Macaca mulatta: one gene and its partner. The protein of the gene in region 1 purifies or fractionates together with the protein of each later gene. This does not show direct contact. Links are inferred from orthologs where the notes say so. Each region holds a gene or a part of one and is shown on either strand. Other genes may lie near its edges. The genes, in order: SIRT6 and G3BP1.

Region 1 (8,686 bases):
ACTGAGATGCAAGAAGGAAATTTTTTATTGCATTGAGGACTTTTCCAGAAGCCTGGTGGACCCACGTCTCCCTCCAGCCCCAAAGGCAGTGCAAAGCCTCTACTGTGTCCCCCACTTCGAGGTGGGTCTCCCCTCCTGCAGGGTCCATGGAGGAGGGGTAGGGTGGGGTGTGGGGGGCCCAGTGGGGAGGCCCTGGGGGCAGAGGGAGTTCACTCCTGTTTAAGCTGGAGACCAGGGAGGGCCCAGCTGCACCTCTGGACAACACTCCATGTCAGAGGATGGGGTGTGGCAGGGGCTCAGCTGTTAGCTCTGGGGTGTGGCTTCTTCTCCAAACCCCACCAAAGGCCCCTAGAGCCCAGGGAGAGACCATGGAGGTCCGGTGCAACCCCTGGCCTGCAGCACAGCTCTCAGAGCCCTGAGGCTCCCGGGGACAGAAACAAGTAACAAAGTGAGACCACGAGAGGAAAAGAATCCACAGTTGCTACAAAAAGCCCCACCCTCCCCAAGCACCCTGGTCAGCTGGGGACCGCCTCGGCCTTTACCCTTTTGGGGGGTCTGTTGGGGGCAGGGCTGGTGGGCCGCTCCCGTTTGGGGCTGGCGGGCTCTGAGCCGTTGTGCTGGGCGCAGGGCTCCTGCTTGGGGCCGGCAGGGATAGAGCCGTTGATCCGGGTGGGTGATTCCTCCTTGGGCTCCAGCTTGGGGGTAGGCGGGCGGGGCAGGGGTGGCAGCGCCCTCTCCAGCACGTGGGGGCCGTCCCAGGCGGGGATCTCCAGCCCCAGGTGCTTCATGAGCCGGGTCATGACCTCGTCGACGTAGCCGTGGATGCGGAGGTCAGCATGGCGGTCCTGCCGGGGGACGGGATGGGTCAGGCATGTGGGGCAGAGGGTGCATGGTGGCCCTGGGCAGGGGTGGGCTCAGACACTTACGTGCTTGGTGGGCTGCAGGTTGACGATGACCAGGCGGCCCCCCCGGCGCTTGGTAGCCAGCGGCAGGTTCCCACTGGGTCGGATCTGCAGTGATGTTCCCAGCGTGATGGACAGGTCGGCGTTCCTGGGGCCAGGGAGTGTGGGCTTAGCCTGATCCCTTCCCCAGCCCTGCTCCTGCCAACATCTCGAGCCAGCCCTGGGGTCTGGCTCACACCTAGGTCATCTGCTCACTGGGGCGGTCAAGGCCAGCCCCGCTCCCGAGTCAGCCTTCGGGATCCTACGCCGCCCTCCTCTGCTGTCCGCTGGCAGGGTCATGGATCTGGGCCAGCCCTTAGACACTCCTAAGGAGCATCACAGTGTGGTAAGAGCTTGGATGCCTAGGGTGGGACCCTGGCTCAGCCACCTCCCGCTGGGCAGCACTGGATAGAGGAGACACCTGGCCAAAGCCTTGGTTTCCTTGTGCAGCACCCACCCAGAGCCATGAGGCGAGGAGTGTGTGTGTGTGTGTGTGTGTGTGTGTGTGTGTGTGTGTGCAGCCCCTGGCCTGGCCCACCTCCTCCAGGAAGCCTCCCCTGACTGCCTCTGAGCCAGAGCCACTGCCCCGTGCTGGAGCTGGCTGTGTTTGTGCTGTCGCCCCGGCCCGCCCCACCATAGGCTCCCTGGGGGGGGTCAGACCTGCTGGCCTCATCGGCGAGTGCCAGGTCCCGGTCGGGCAGGGAGTCCTCCCAGTCTAGGATGGTGTCCCTCAGCTCCCCCCTGCAATGAGGAAGCTGAGGAGAGTCCACAGGGGCCTAGCAGCCTCCCCTGGAGCCCAGGGCATGGGTGGGGGTGGCTCACCTGCAGGCCCGCAGCCCCCTTGCCTTAGCCACGGTGCAAAGCCGGCCCGTGGCCTTCAGGCCCATGGTGCCCACGACTGTGTCCCGGACATACTGCCTGTGTCGGGGAGGAAGGGGGAGGATGGGGCTGGGTCAGCCCCCGTGGGTGACTCTCGCACTGTTTCTAGGGTGACGTTCTCCCAGGAAGGTGGGTGGACAGGTCACCAGAACTAGCACCCAGAGACACGAACGAGGAGCCTTCCAGGAATAACAGGTCAGGATGCTGTTCGGTGCCCACACACAGAAAACAAAGCAGGAAACTGTCTCAGACAAAGCTCGAGAGACAGGACCCCGCATGGGATCCCGGACCAGGAGAAACAGGAACCACTGGAGCATGGGGACAACAGGCCGAGTCTGGATTCAGGATTAGAGAAGGCGATGTCCACTTTACTTTTCCTGACTTTAATCGTCATACTGGAACGGGTGCGGTGGCTCATGCCTTTCATCCTAGCACTTTGGGAGGCTGAGGCAGGCAGATCATGAGGTCAGGAGTACACCACCAGCCTGGCCAATATGGTGAAATCCCATCTCTACTAAAAATACAAAAATTAGGTGTGGTGGCGGGCGCCTGTAGTCCCAGTTACTCGGGAGGCTGAGGCAGAAGAATTGCTTGAACCTGGGAGGTAGAGGTTGCAGTGAGCTGAGATTGCGCCTAGTGCACTCCAGCCTGGGTGACAGAGCAAGACTGTCTCAAAAAAAAGGAGAAACACAGAGATAAGAAGGCCCCTGTAGCTATAGGCCCAGGACCACCAAGGGTGGCTGGCTGCCACCAGCAGCCACGAAAAGGCAGGAAAAATCCTCCACTACAGGTTGCAGAGGAGCACGGCCCTGCAGACACCTGGATTTTGGACTTCTGGCCCCCAGAACTGTCACAAATTTCTATTGCTCTAAAATGCTTATCTGCGGTAGGTTGCTATGGCAGTGCCAGGACATGGATGTACCCCCCCAGGAGGGAGGCATGCCCCAAAATCCCTCTAGGAGGCAGATATGCCCCTCAGATCCCCCCAGGAGGAAGGCATGACCCTCAGATCCCCCCAGGAGGGCCACACCCCAGTCCCCCCACATCCTCTGGGTCTCTGGGACAACAGATTCGGCCCCCAACCCCTCTGGCAGAGCCTGCCCTGAGGGAGGGATGGTGGCTGCATGGCTCACACTGTGCACCCGCCTGGGGGAAGCCTGGCAGAGCCTCTGCCCCTGCACCCAGGTGGCACTCACGTCTTACACTTGGCACATTCTTCCACGAACATGTTCCCATGAAGCTCTGCCAATTTGTCCCTGTGGGAGAAGAAGAGGCTCGATGGTGGGAAGGGCTCCCTGGATGCCCAGGCTTTGGGGCTGGTGCTAAGCCCCTCTACTCCAGGAAGGCTTCCCGGACTCCTCTCCCACAACATTGATCAACTCCTTTCTGGCTCTTCTAGCTCCTGGCTCCACCACTCATCTGCTATGTGTCTCTGGGCAAGTGGCCCAACCTCTCTGAGCCCAAGGAATCATTAACCCCTGCGGTTGAACCCACCTTAGATAACGGGAAGCCCTTTCCACTCAGAAAATGCCCGTCCCCTTCGACAGCATATGGGAACCTCTTGATGTCACCAGGTCAGAAGCACAGGAATTCAAATTCCCAGTTTATAATGGAAGAAACCGAGGCAATGAGTGGCCCTGAAGCATGAGATCCAATCCCAGCTTTATTTTATTTATTTATTTTATTTTATTTATTTATTTTTTTTTTTGAGACGGAGTCTCGCTCTGTCGCCCAGGCTGGAGTGCAGTGGCCGGATCTCAGCTCACCGCAAGCTCCGCCTCCTGGGTTCACGCCATTCTCCTGCCTCAGCCTCCCGAGTGGCTGGGACTACAGGCGCCCGCCACCTCGCCCGGCTAGTTTTTTGTATTTTTTTAGTAGAGACGGGGTTTCACCGTGTTAGCCAGGATGGTCTCGATCTCCTGACCTCGTGATCCGCCCGTCTCGGCCTCCCAAAGTGCTGGGATTACAGGCTTGAGCCACCGCGCCCGGCCTATTTTATTTTTTTGAGATGGAGTCTCGCTCTGTCGCCCAGGCTGGAGTGCAGTGGCGCGATATCAGCTCACTGCAAGTTCTGCCTCCCAGGTTCAAGCCGCCAGCTCACTGCAACCTCCACCTCCTGGGTTCAAGCGGTTCTCCTGCCTCAGCCTCCTGAGTAGCTGGGACTACCGGCACCCGCCACCATGCCTGGCTAATTTTTCTTTTTTTTGAGATGGGCTGGCTAATTTTTTGTATTTTTAGTAGAAAGGGGGTTTCACCATTTTAGCCAGGATGGTCTTGATCTCCTGACCTCGTGATCTGCCCGCCTTGGCCTCCCAAAGTGCTGGGATTACAGGCGTGAGCCACCGTGCCTGGCCTAATTTTTCTATTTTTAGTACAGACGGGGTTTCACCATGTGGCCAGGATGGTCTTGATCTCCTGACCTTGTGATCCACCCGCCTCGGCCTCCCAAAGTACTGGGATTACAGGCACAAGTCACCATACCCAGCCCTCCTTTGCTTTTTTTTTTTTTTTTTTTTGAGACAGAGTGTTGCTCTGTCGCCCAAGATGGAGTGCAGTGGCACCATCTCGGCTCACTGCAACCTCTGCCTCCCGGGTTCAAGTGATTCTCCTGACTCAGCCTCCCGAGTAGCTGAGATTACAGGTGTGTGCCACCACGCCCAGCTAATTTTTGCATTCTTAGTAGAGATGGGGTTTCACGATGTTGGCCAGGCTAGTCTCGAACTCTTGACCTTGTGATCCACCCTCCTTGGCCACCCAAAGCGCTGGGATTACAGATGTGAGACACCGTGCCCGGCCTCTCCTTTGCTTTCATAAGCAGAGAAAAAGCTCTTCCTCACCCCTTACCCCTGGGTGCCCAGCTCCTTGTTCAACAACTGACCTGGCTGTCACCGGCTGCTTCAGGGGTGAGACCCGGCAAAGAGGGGCAGGGGAGGGCCACACCTCTATTAGGAAATCAGTCAGCCCCAGAGCACAGGTTCACTTCAGTGTTAGACACGTTTAGTGTCAGATTAATAAAGATGGAAATTAAAAACACAACAGGCCGGGCGCGGTGGCTCACGCCTGTAATCCCAACACTTTGGGAGGCCGTGGCAGGCGGATCACCTGATGTCAGGAGTTCAAGACCAGCCTGACCAACATGCAGAAACCCCGTCTCTACTAAAAATACAAAATTAGCTGGATGCAGTGGCACCTGCCTGTAATCCCAGCTACTCAGGAAGCTGAGGCAGGAGAATTGCTTGAACCCGGGAGGCTGAGCCGAGATTACGCCATTGCACTCCAGCCTGGGCAACAAGAGTGAAACTCGGTCTCAAAAACAACAACAACAACAACAACAACAAACTGCAACTTCTAGACCCTGACAGCTCTGCTCCACTCGGCCCCATCCCAAGGGAAATTCTGCCTCTGGCCCCGGCGGGGACAGCTCTGAGCCATGGGGCTCAGAAATCTCCACACACTGGGCCAAGAAAGATCCAGAGAGCTCAGGGCTAGAATCTTACAGAACCAGGAAAAGGGGACTTTCCCCCTAAAAACGCAAACCCGGTTTATGGGGCCCCAAGTGCTTTCCTGGGGGGGGCGGGGCCCGGGTGTTACCTAGGGAAGCCTGAGCGCACATGGAGCCCGTCCACGTTCTGGCTGACCAGGAAGCGAAGGAGGCCCACGCGTTCCAGCTGCACCAGCGCCATGTGGGTCTGCGTGGGCCGTGCGCTCTCAAAGGTGGTGTCGAACTTGGGGGCCAGGCCTCGCTCCTCCATGGTCCAGACTCCGTGGGGACCCCTGAAGGTGACAGGCCGGGAGAGATGGACAGGCAGAGGGGAACGGAAAAAGAGACAGAGGGAGCATCAGAGAGGCATAGAGAGAAAGTTGGAGAGAGAGACAATCGGGAGACAGAGAGAGGGAATCAGAAAGAGAGAAATAGAGGGTGAGTCGGAAGAACAGGGAGAGGGGGATAGAACAAGACACAGACAGAGAGATAAAGAGTGAAAGACAAAGAAAGCAAGTCAGAGACAGAATAGGAGAGAGAAAGAGAGAGGGAGAGGCAGAGAGAGATGAATTCACACCAAGGCAAAAATGACTTGTTCTATTCAACCAGCACTGCTGCTGCAATGAGCCCGGACGATGCCCACATGGACCCAAGCCCTGCCCTCCAGAAGCCCTTGATCTTGGGGGAGACATGTGGACACAGACCCTCTGGCCCCAAGAGTCAAGCCTGGACCAGAGGAGGTACCCGGGCTTGGGGAAGCCCAGTGGAGGTGTTGGGGGCCCTGGGCTTCTCCAGGCCCAGGTATCTCTTTTGGTCCAGGCTTGACTGGGCTTCCTGGAGGAGGCTGAGCAGTTTCTTGAAGGGTGAGAGGGAAGATCAGCCAGAAGGCGTAAACAAAGGCCTGGGTGCTGGGAAGAGCTGGGAAATGCAGGTGTTTTGGGGCTGCAGCAGGAGCAGGAGGGGCTGAAGTTGGAGAGGTGATTCAGGGCTGGAGCAGGAAGGGCTTCAGCTTCCAGCACAAGGTATTCAGAACTCTACACTGCCTGGCAATGGGAAGCCACAGCAGGTTATGGAAGAGGAGGAGGAGTAGAAATTCACGCCTTGGAATTCTTTTTTTTTTTTTTTTTTTTTTTTTGAGATGGAGTCTGGCTCTGTCGCCCAGGCTGGAGTGCAATGGCACGATCGTGGCTAACTGCGAACTCCACCTCCCGGGTTCAAGCGATTCTCCCACCTTGGCCTCCCAAGTAGCTGGGATTACAGGTGCCCGCCACCATGCCTGGCTACACTTGCAAGTGTGAAAGACTACATTTCCCAGCATTCCTTGAAGCCATATGTGATCAGGCGACTGTGTTCTGGCCAATGGGGTGAGTGGAATGCTGGTTGTGACAGGGACACATCTTCATTTTGTTTTGTTTGTTTTTAGACAGAGCCTCACTCTGTCGCCCAGGCTGGAGTGCAGTGGTGCGATCTCGGCTCACTGCCTCCACCTCCCAGGTTCAAGAGATTCTCCTGCCTCAGCCTCCCAAGTAGCTGGGACTACAGATGTGTGCCACCACACCTGGCTAATTTTTGTATTCTTAGTAGAGACAGGGATTCATCATATTGGCCAGGCTGGTCTGGAACTCCTGACCTTGTGATCCCCCACGCCCAGCCAAGGGACACATCTTACGGGGAGGGGGTGTTGCCCCTTTCCAGTACCCAGGACACATCCAGGAGAACAGCAGATGGATGGGTTCTAATTCCCAGATGTATATGGCTCGCAAGGAAGCCCCTGGCAGCCTGGTGGGCCTTGCCTCGAATTCCCCTGCACACTCACAGACCTGAAGTCGGGAATGCCAGAGGCAGTGCTGATGCCGGCACCCGTGTGGAACACCACATGGGAAGACTGCCAGACCAGCCTTGCCAGCTCCCACACCTTCCGCTCCAGCTCCTCCGGGGGGTCGAAGATCTGTGGGGGGAGAGAGCAGATGGAGGGGTCAAAACAGTTCCCCGAGTGGCAAGGCCACACACAAGCCACAGACTGAGCTGTCCCTGTCTTGCCTGAGGGAGGAAAACGGATTGGAAAAGGCAGCTTGTCCTCATGCCCCTCCTCTGCCTACAACCTTCCATGACTCCCACTTGCCTTGTCAAAGCCCTAGCCCTCCCCACGGCCCACCAGGCCCTGTACTACCTCCCCTGCCCCCTCCCTGCCCTCTTCTCCTCCCTCTCCCCGCCTCACTCTGCTCCAGCCACACAGGTCTCCTCCCTGTTCCTCCATCACACCAGGCACAGTCCTGCTTCAGGGCCACACCCTTTAATGCTCTTCCCCTAGATACCCACATGGCTCCCTCCCTCACCTCCTGTAACTTGTGGCTCAGATGTCACTTCTGTGACAGTGACGCCTCCCTTGGCCACCTGGTTTCCATGCAACCCCTAGTCAGTCTCTCTTACTAGAAAGAGGGGTTTTTAATCTGTCTTGCTCCTGGCTGTGGCCCTAGTACCTAGAAAGTGCCTGACACACGGTAGGTACTCCATAAATGCTGGTAGAATAAAGTGACTAACAGGCCGGGCGTGGTGGCTCACGCCTGTAATCCCAGCACTTTGGGAGGCCAAGGTGGGTGGATCACTTGAGGTCAAGAGTTCGAGACCAGACTGGCCAACATGGTGAAACCGCGCCTCTACTAAAAACACACAAATTAGCTGGGCGTGGTGGCAGGTGCCTGCAATCTCATCTACCCTACAGAGGAGGCTAAGGCAGGAGCACTTGAACCTGGGAGGGGGAGGTTGCAGTGAGCCGAGATCGTGCCACTGCACTCCAGCCTGGGCGACACAGAAACTCTGTCTCAATAATAATAATAAATAATAATAATAATAATAAAATAAAGTGACTAACAGCAGCATGAAGAGTGGGGCTTCTGGACGGGCGCACACCATCGGCTCTCATTAAATGCATGATTCAGAATGCATGGGCCAGCCTTTTTGGAATGGGGCCATCTTCCCCTCGTTTGCAGGAAGGATAGAGATGGAGACCCAGAAGGGAAATGACTTCCCCAAAGTCCCACAGTGCGCGGTGGGGGCAGCCGATCCCTCCACTTCCCCTCCGAGTGGCTGGAGGGATCTTTCTGGCACATTCTGTCCAGGCCCCTCGCCAGGGCAAAACCGTTCCCCATCACCCTCAGGATAAAGTACCAACTCCCCAGCCTGGCATTTGAGCCTCGTCCTGGCCCAACTCTGGAAACCTCCCAGGCCTAATCGTTCTCCAAATGTGTTTATTCCCACCTCCCTGCCTTTGCGCCTGTCGTCCCCTCCTCCTGGAACTACATCCCCTCTCTCCCCCATCAGCCCGGACAGGCTGGCCACAGAGTTGGGCGTGTTCGCGTCCCCCGGCGCGCAGGGGCGTCACTTC
Region 2 (8,914 bases), on another chromosome or scaffold:
TGAACCAGGCCCCAGACATGCTGCATAGGTAAGTAAGACATTTTTCTGCTGCATCATCTAATGCTGTCTTTTAGTATGTGGTACTTATCTTTGAGATTCTCCCACTCATCATCATATACTTTGTAGGGTTGTTGCATAATACTTATTTGCATATAAATGTCCCCCAATTTTTTTTTTTTTTTTTGAGACAGAGTCTCACTCTGTTGCCTAGACTGGAGTGCAGTGGTGCGATCTCGACTGACCGCAACCTCCACCTCCCTAGTTTAAGTGATTCTTCTGCCCCAGCCTCCTGAGTAGCTGGGACTGCAGGCGCCCACACCCATGTCCGACTAATTTTTGTATTTTTTTTTTTGTTAGTAGCAATGGGGTTTCACCATGTTGGCCAGGCTGGTCTTGAACTCCTAACCTCAGGTGATTGATCCGCCTCGGCCTCCGAAAGTCCTGGGATTACAGGCGTGAGCCACTGCTCCTAGCCCCAAAAAATAATTTTTAAAAGTTAAACTAAGTTACCCAAACTTGTACATTATTGGAAAATAACGGTTGAAATGTAAAGGTATAGTTATGCATTATTGGCTAAGAAAGTATAAAGATTGCTGGAGCTGAGGTGGATGTAAAAAATAAGAATGTATTGAAGACAATCCGTGACTGTTTCTGTAATACCATACTTTTGTGTTGATGTGCTTTAAAAAATTACAGTGTCTTTAGTAGAAAATGATGCATGCTTATTGAAAATTAAAACAAATTATGAAAGCAGTAAAACCACAGGAACAGTTTTTCTGTATATATAGAAACATGTGGCCGGGCGCGGTGGCTCAAGCCTGTAATCCCAGCACTTTGGGAGGCCGAGACGGGCGGATCACGAGGTCAGGAGATCGAGACCATCCTGACTAACACGGTGAAACCCCGTCTCTACTAAAAAAAATACAAAAAACTAGCCGGGCGAGGTGGCGGGCGCCTGTAGTCCCAGCTACTCGGGAGGCTGAGGCAGGAGAATGGCGTGAACCCAGGAGGCGGAGCTTGCAGTGAGCTGAGATCCGGCCACTGCACTCCAGCCTGGGCGACAGAGCGAGACTCCGTCTCAAAAAAAAAAAAACAAAAAAAAACAAACAAACAAACAAAAAAGAAACATGTTTTAATATACTGTCTTAACTTTCTTACTTGATAATCTGGAATCATGTTTTCAGGGTAATATTTGTATCCCATTAATTTTAGTGGCTACAAAGTTTTTTATGGAGATATGGTGTACTTTAATCTCCTAGTGATGGATCTATAGATTGCTTCTATTATTTTCTCTTACAATGTCACTTTATACAAAACTGTCTATTTATGTGGCTTTGTTAGAATAATTTCATAGTTTCAAAATGTGTATTCGCTGGACCAGAACTATTTTTTCCCTTATACCTTGACCAGCTTACATATTGGATACCACATGATTATCAGGTATAAAATAAAATTTACGAATGTTTTCAATGCTGGTTTTGACATTGCTCTGACAATGGAATGTATCTCGTGTGTGTGTGTGAGGTGTGTGAGAGTGTGTGTGTGTCGTGTGTGTGAGAGAGAGAGAGGGAGGGAGAGAGAGAGAGGGAGTGAGAGTGAGTCAGTCTCATCTCTCTCCTGGGCTGGAGTGCAGGTGGCAAGGTCACAGCTCACTGCAGCCTTGAACTCTTGGGCTCAGACTGTCCTCCCACCTCAGCCTCCTGAGTAGCTGGGACTGAGGTACAATCCACCACACTCAGCTAATTTTTTTTGTAGAGACGGTTTTACCATTTTGCCCAAGCTGATCTCGAACTCCTGGACTCAAGCAATTCGCTTGCTTCAGCCTTCCAAAATCCTGGGATTACAGGTGTGAACCACCACCCTTGGGTTTTTTGTTAAGGGTTTAAAATTTCCAGAACATTTTTTCTCATTTCCTCCTGATCATTACAAAAATCTTTAGTGAAGGGTAAGGCATTGTAAGAGAGTTAACTTCATTTTGCAGATACACTCAGAGTGTTTAAAAATTTGCTAGTACATATGCACATGACTGTTAAGTGGTAGAACAAGTCTCTAAGCAGTTTTTACCCTTCCTTCCTTTTCTTTTTTCTTTTTTCTTTTTTTTTTGAGACAGTCTTACTCTGTTGCCCAGGCTGAAGTGCAATGGTGCGATCATAGCTTGACCTCCTGGGCTCAAGTGATCCTCTTGCCTCAGTTTCCTACATAGCTAGGACTACAGGCATGCACTACCATGCCCAGCTAAGTTTGTGTGTGTGTGTGTGTGTGTGTGTGTGTGTATATATTTTTTTTTTTTTTGGTGGAGTCTCGCTCTGTCACCCAGCCTGGAATGCCATGGTGAGATCTCAGCTCACTGTAGCCTCTGCCTCCCGGGTTCCAGTGATCCTCCTGCCTCAGCCTCCTGAGTAGTTGGGACTACGGGTGCACACCACCACCATGCCTGGCTCTTTTTTTTTTTTTTTTTTTCCCGAGATGGAGTTTCGTTCTTGTTGCCCAGGTTGGAGTGCAATGGCGCTATCTTGGCTCACCGCAACCTGTGTCTCCCATGTTTAAGTGGTACTCCTGCCTTAGCCTCCCGAGTAGCTGGGATTACAGGCATGCGCCACCACGCCTGGCTAATTTTGTATTTTTGGTGGAGACAGGGTTTCCCTATGTTGGTCAGGCTGGTCTCGAACTTCTGACTTCAGGTGATCCGCCCACCTTGGCCTCCCAAAGTGTTGGGATTACAGGCGTGAGCCATCGCGTCCAGCCTTTTTTTGTGTTTTTATATTTGGTTAATTTATTTCAACCCCATAGAATAAAACTGACATAAAACATGACAACAAGAAAGAAGTATAGGCCAGGCATGGTGGCTCATGCCTGTAATCCCAGCACTTTGAGAAGCTGAGGTGTGCTGAGAGGCTGAGGTGGACTGAGAGGCTGAGGTGGGTGGATCACTTGAGGTCAGGAGTTCAAGACCAGCCTGGCCAATATGGCGAAACCCTCTCTCTGTACTAAAAATACAAAAAAAGGCGGAGGTTGCAGTGAGCTGAGACTGCGCCACGGCACTCCAGAATGAGCAACAGCATGAGACTCTGTCTCAAAAAAAAAAAAAAAAAAAAAAAAGGTGTTTACCTGGAAGATGGAAGACAAATGTCAAATCTTAATAGTGGTTGTCCCTGGGTTAGAGCATTTTGGTGTGTTGCTTTCTTGATGGAATATTGTTTTAATGAAAATGGATCAAAGAAGGACATAGATGGGTGAAAACTATGAGGAATTGACTTTGACATTCTTAATTGCATCAGCAAAAATGATTAAAAAGTGCTTTTAAAACCACTTGCATGAACTAGGTGTTTAAGGGAAACTGCTCACATTTATTCTCAGATACATTAATTAAAGGACACTTGAAGTCTATGGAGAATATAGCTGTTCCAGCCTTACTGCATATTTTCTTCCTGAGTGAAAATAGGAACTTATGTATTGGTGGCCATCTTGACATGCAACTACAAGATCCTTCCCAACAGTATCATCCTACGCCGAAACCTGGAACCAAATCCATTCCCATTCAGCAGATGTTGATCAAGTGGCATGTAGGGGATAGAGAGATGATTGCATACAAAGATGAAAAAGAAAACACATTTCTGCCAGGGCCAGGCGCGGTGACTGACGCCTATAATTCCAGCACTTTGGGAAGCCAAGGCAGGTAGGATTGTTTGAGTTTGTGAGTTCGAGACCAGCCTGGGCAACGTAGTGAGACCTTATTTTTACTTAAATAAAAATAATCAGCCAGGCATGGTGGCATGTGCCTGTAGTTCCAGCTACTTTGGGAAGCTGAGGCTAGAGGATCACTTGGCCGTGGCACATAGAAGCTGCAGTGAGGTATGATCGCATCACTGCAATCCAGCCTGGGTGACAGATTGAGACCCCATCTCCAAAAAAAGAAATTTGCCAGTATCAAACATGAAAAAAAAAAAAAAAAACTTAAGATACTTGAAGATGACAAGTAAATCATCTTCCCATTTTACAGATTTTATGGAAAGAACTCTTCTTATGTCCATGGGGGATTGGATTCAAATGGAAAGCCAGCAGATGCAGTCTACGGACAGAAAGTAAGCATTTCAAGCCTTATTTAGGCTGTTAAGCAGGTAGAAAATAACTCATAAAATTGAAGTGGATCATACTTAATAGGTTTTGGTGATGAGGATCAAATTTCTCAACTTTTTAGTAAAAGTTGATGTGTTTTATTACTATTTGATTAATATATTTGTTGAAATATTTATGTGATGTCAGATTTGTTAATTTTGCATGATACAAAGCTTGTGTGTGTTGGAAGATAATTGGCTTTAGCATGGGGGTCATCTTTGTGTTAATTCAGAACAGTTATTTAAAAAACTCAAGTGTGGTCACTGGGAATAGGGTATACAAAGAAACATCAAAATCCAGTCTGCGTTTCCTATAATTTAAATATGTACATTCTCTTTACCTGTGTTTTGTTGAAAGTTTTTTTTTAGTTGGAGGTTATTTAAATTTTAAGGCATTCACAGTTGATTTTTTTTTTTTTTTTAAGGAAATCCACAGGAAAGTGATGTCACAAAATTTCACCAACTGCCACACCAAGATTCGCCATGTTGATGCTCATGCCACGCTAAATGATGGTGTGGTAGTCCAGGTGATGGGGCTTCTCTCTAACAACAACCAGGCTTTGAGGAGATTCATGCAAACGTTTGTCCTTGCTCCTGAGGTATGTATAGGGATGATTATTTTGTAATGATCGAAACATGGAAAAAAAAAACAATGAACGGTTGTGCATATCTTTAATAACACTTGAAATTTCAGACTTACAGAAAACTTGGAATAATGGTACAATAACTCCTATACACCTTACCTAGAGCAGCTGTCACCACTTGCCCACATGTGTGTAATTCTTTCTCTAAAATACTCCAGTGGGCATTTCCTAAGAATAAAGAATTCTCTTCCATTCTATAGTACAGTTATCAAATTCAGGAAATGTTGATGCAGTATAATTATTCTATAATCCATATTTAAAATTTGGAAATTATCCCAATAATGTCTTAGAGTTATTTTTTTTCCTTGTCCAACATGGAATCTATAATTGCACATTGCATTTAGCTATCATGTCTCTAGTCTTTTCTAATCTGCAGTTGTTCCTTAATCTTTTGGTTTTTTTTTTATTGCATTGACATTTTTGAAGAGCATAATCACTTTTTTTTGTAGGATGCTTTATGTGTGTCATTCATTGCCTCACGTTAGAGAGGCACATTATGTCATTAAGTTGTGATATGAATTTTGATTAGTTAAGTTTTGCCACTGTAAAGTTAAATATGTTTTCTCTCTCTCTCTCTCTTTTTTTTGGAGACGGAGTCTCACTCTGTCGTCCAGGCTGGAGTTCAGTGGCTCCATCTCTGCTCACTGCAACCTCCGCCTCCTGGGTTCAGGCTGTTCTCCTGCCTCAGCCTCCCGAATAGCTGGGACTAGGAGCGTGCCACCACACTTGACTGATTTTGGTATTTTTAGTAGAAGATGACAAACCATGTTTGTCAGGCTGGTCTCTAACTCCTGACCTCAAGTGATCCACCTGCCTCCGCTTCCCAAAGTACAGGGATTACAGGTGTGAGCCACTGTGCACAGCCTTATTTTTTCTCTTTTGATTTGTAAATAAAGGATGGGAGATTCTCTTTTTATCTTTTTTGAACACTTACGGCATAAGATGTTTCAGGTTCATCTTGCACTGTTCCTGGCCCAGCCCCTATTCTTGAATCACCTGTTCCTTCAAGGAGGCCTGGTTCTTTTTAGTTATACTTACGAAAGGATGACAAGTTTATGTTGAATGATTGCATTTGTGTTTTCTTCCGGATTGGTCTAGACTGAACAAGGTTAGGAATCCAGTCTGCTTAAGCATGTATATAGAAATGGCACAGTATGAACTTGTTGATTAAATCATTGTTTCTTCTAGCATTAATCTTAAATTTTCTTTTTAGGATAGCAAACCTAAAAACACCTAAAATCTTTTAACCTTTGAATATGAGATAACTTTTTGTCTGTGCAAAATTACACGAAGCCATTACTGTCATAATTTTTAGAGGAAGGCTTAGATTAAAATGTAAAGATGTGGTAGACTTCTAAATATGCAAAGAATCACATGGAGTATGATTGTCAATTATAGGTTTAATTATAGTTTTTTTTTTCTTTTAAAGGAAGTATCTAACTTCTCGTTAGTATAATACACTGTTATGTAAACTGTCTCATTTAGTACACAGAGTATTGAAGCATACGTTTATATCTTTCCTTTCTGTTTTTTGAGATAAGAGTCTCCCTGTGTTAGCCAGGCTGGAGTGCAGTGGTAGGATCATGACATACTGCAACCTTGACTGCCTGGGCTGAAATGATAATCCCACCTGAGCTTCCCAAGTAGCAGGGACCGCAAGCACAGGCTACCATTCCTGGCTAATTTTTGTTTTTGTTTTTGTAGAGACACACTCTACAAAAAGTATGTTGCCCAGGCTAGTCTCAAACTCCTGGGCTTAAGCAGTTCTACCTCAGCCGTCCAAAGTGTTGGGATTTCAGGAGTTGAGCGAGCCACTGTGCCTAGCTGATACCTCTCTTTTCACAGAGGAGTAACAGCCTTAGGAACTGAATAACTCATAAATTATATAATTGGATCTGCACTCAGGTGTGTCTTATACCTAGTGCGAGCAATCTTTTTCAGGCTACATTACTCTCGAGTGTTTATATCAATATTTTTGGATACAGACTTGGGGGAATACCTGCTGAAGTTAGGACTATGATTGCCTTTTTTTTTTTGAGACAAGGTCTCGCTCTGTTGCCCAGGCTGGAGCGCAGAGGTGCAGTCTGGGTTCACTGCACCCTCCACCTCCCAGGTTCAAGTGATCCTCCCACCTCAGCCTCCCTAGCAGCTGGGACTACAGGCGTGGCCCTTTATGCCTATCTCATTTTTGTATTTTTAGTAGAGATGGGATTTCACCATATTGGCCAGGGTGGTCTTGAACTCCTGACCTTAGGTGATCTGCCCGCCTTGGCCTCCCAAAGTGCTGGGATTACAGGCATGAGCCACTGCGCCCATCCAGAATATGATTGCCTTATAATGATTTGAGGTGTGAACTGTGGCATCTTACATACTTAGAACTTTGTCAGTTTCTGCGTATTTATCTTATGGTGAGGTAAAGTGTTTTGAGCAAATATGTGAGTGTAGTCTTGTTACCAGCTATTGTCGAGTGGGCATTTTCAGTCTTGGCACTGTTGACATTTTGGATCAACTAATTCTTTGTTGTGGGAGCCTGTCCTGTGCATTGCAGGAATTTAGCAGCATCCCTAACCTTATAAGTTGTCAGTAGCATTCCCTGTAGTGAATACTGAAATGTCGGCAGGGCATGCTGGCTCATACCCATAATTCAGAACTTTGGGAGACTGAGGCAGGAGGACCACTTGAGCCCAGGAATTAAAGACCAATCAGGGCAGTTTAACAAGATCCTGTCTCAAAAAAGAAAAGAAAAAAGAGAAATTAACCTTTCAAGGTGGCGCGCCACTGTAGTCCTAGCTACTTAGGAGGCTGAGGCAGGAAGATCCCTTGAGCCTGGGATTTCAAGGCTGCAGTGAGCTGTGATGGCCCACTGCACCCCCACCTGGGTGACAGCAAGACCCTGTCTGAAAACCCCACAACAACAAAAACTGAAATGTCTCCAGACATTGCCAGATGTCTCATGGAAGCAGACTTGTCTCAGTCACCAATGGTGTGGAGTGATTTGACTTTCTAAAAGTCTGTTGAATAAATTAAAACTTTCTGTTGGCATTGCAGGGGTCTGTTGCAAATAAATTCTATGTTCACAATGATATCTTCAGATACCAAGATGAGGTCTTTGGTGGGTTTGTCACTGAGCCTCAGGAGGGTAAGTAGTGAAATATTTTAAATTACTTGTCTACATTTTTTTTAATGGCATCAGATTGCCCTTAAGAGACCATGCGTTTCTTTACTGTTTTCATTACACTCTGTTCTTCATTAATAACTAATTATCATGGCATATGAAGAATCTGAGGTTTTACCCTACTTGAAGCTGCTAACAGGTTAGCTTATATCGTGGATGTTAGTAGAAGATAAAAGACTCTTAGGTCAGAAGGAGACAGGTTACCTCACAGCAACGGTAGTAGCATTTTTGCCACATTTACCAACAGGATGTCATGAAGAAGGCTAGATGATACTTCTACTGCAGTGGGTTGTGTTAAAGGCATGGGACACTGAGTTTAGGGAACACAGATCTATTACAACAGGCAGTAAACATGCCTACTCTTTGTGCTGGGGGGAGATACGCTTTCAAAGCTGTTTGCTCTATAAATGTTCTTGAAAGACAGTCTAGAAGAAAGGGTAGGCATGGAAGATGTGTAGACACAGAGACTCATGGAAAATTTTCTCCAAAATAATAGAATTTGCATGTTGTTTATTTGGCTGAGAGTATATTTAATTTGTAATATAGTTTTACAGATAAGCAGTCATTTGCCTAGCTAGTAAAGTGGTAGAGCCTGCATTAGATAACTGCCTAATGTAATTTGGCTAATGTAGCCAGTTATGTGAAAGCCTGCATTAGGCTCCATGCTCTTAAAAACCAAGACACTACAGTAGCCTTAAAGTCTATCCTTAAGGCCGAGCGTGGTGGCTTACGCCTGTAATCCCAGCACTTTGGGAGGCCAAGGCAGGCGGATCACGAGGTCAGGAGATCGAGACCATCCTCGCTAACATGGTGAAACCCTGTCTCTACTAAAAATAGAAAAAATTAGCCAGGCGTGGTGGCGGACGCCTAGCTACTTGGGAGACTGAGGCAGGAGAATGGTGTGAACCCGGGAGGTGGAACTTCCAGTGAGCCGAGATTGCGCCACTGCACTCTAGCCTGGGCGACAGAGCGAGACTCCG

The links.
Region 2: the proteins of SIRT6 (region 1) and G3BP1 purify together in Homo sapiens (affinity purification with mass spectrometry; 3 studies listed by BioGRID and IntAct, with this or other methods). This does not show direct contact. The link is inferred for Macaca mulatta from reciprocal best matches to the Homo sapiens genes SIRT6 and G3BP1.

The regions. Positions count from the first base shown.
Region 1 is NC_133424.1:5,002,121-5,010,806, forward strand, and holds the end of SIRT6 (NAD-dependent protein deacylase sirtuin-6), read right to left. Parts: intron 7,250-8,686; coding exon 7,122-7,249; intron 5,595-7,121; coding exon 5,412-5,594; intron 3,077-5,411; coding exon 3,017-3,076; intron 1,860-3,016; coding exon 1,764-1,859; intron 1,683-1,763; coding exon 1,602-1,682; intron 1,051-1,601; coding exon 927-1,050; intron 846-926; coding exon 516-845; 3' UTR 8-515; downstream 1-7. UniProt on the Homo sapiens protein: NAD-dependent protein deacetylase, deacylase and mono-ADP-ribosyltransferase that plays an essential role in DNA damage repair, telomere maintenance, metabolic homeostasis, inflammation, tumorigenesis and aging.
Region 2 is NC_133411.1:160,728,133-160,737,046, forward strand, and holds part of G3BP1 (ras GTPase-activating protein-binding protein 1), read left to right. Parts: coding exon 1-28; intron 29-4,000; coding exon 4,001-4,082; intron 4,083-4,540; coding exon 4,541-4,714; intron 4,715-7,807; coding exon 7,808-7,898; intron 7,899-8,914. UniProt on the Homo sapiens protein: Protein involved in various processes, such as stress granule formation and innate immunity. Plays an essential role in stress granule formation.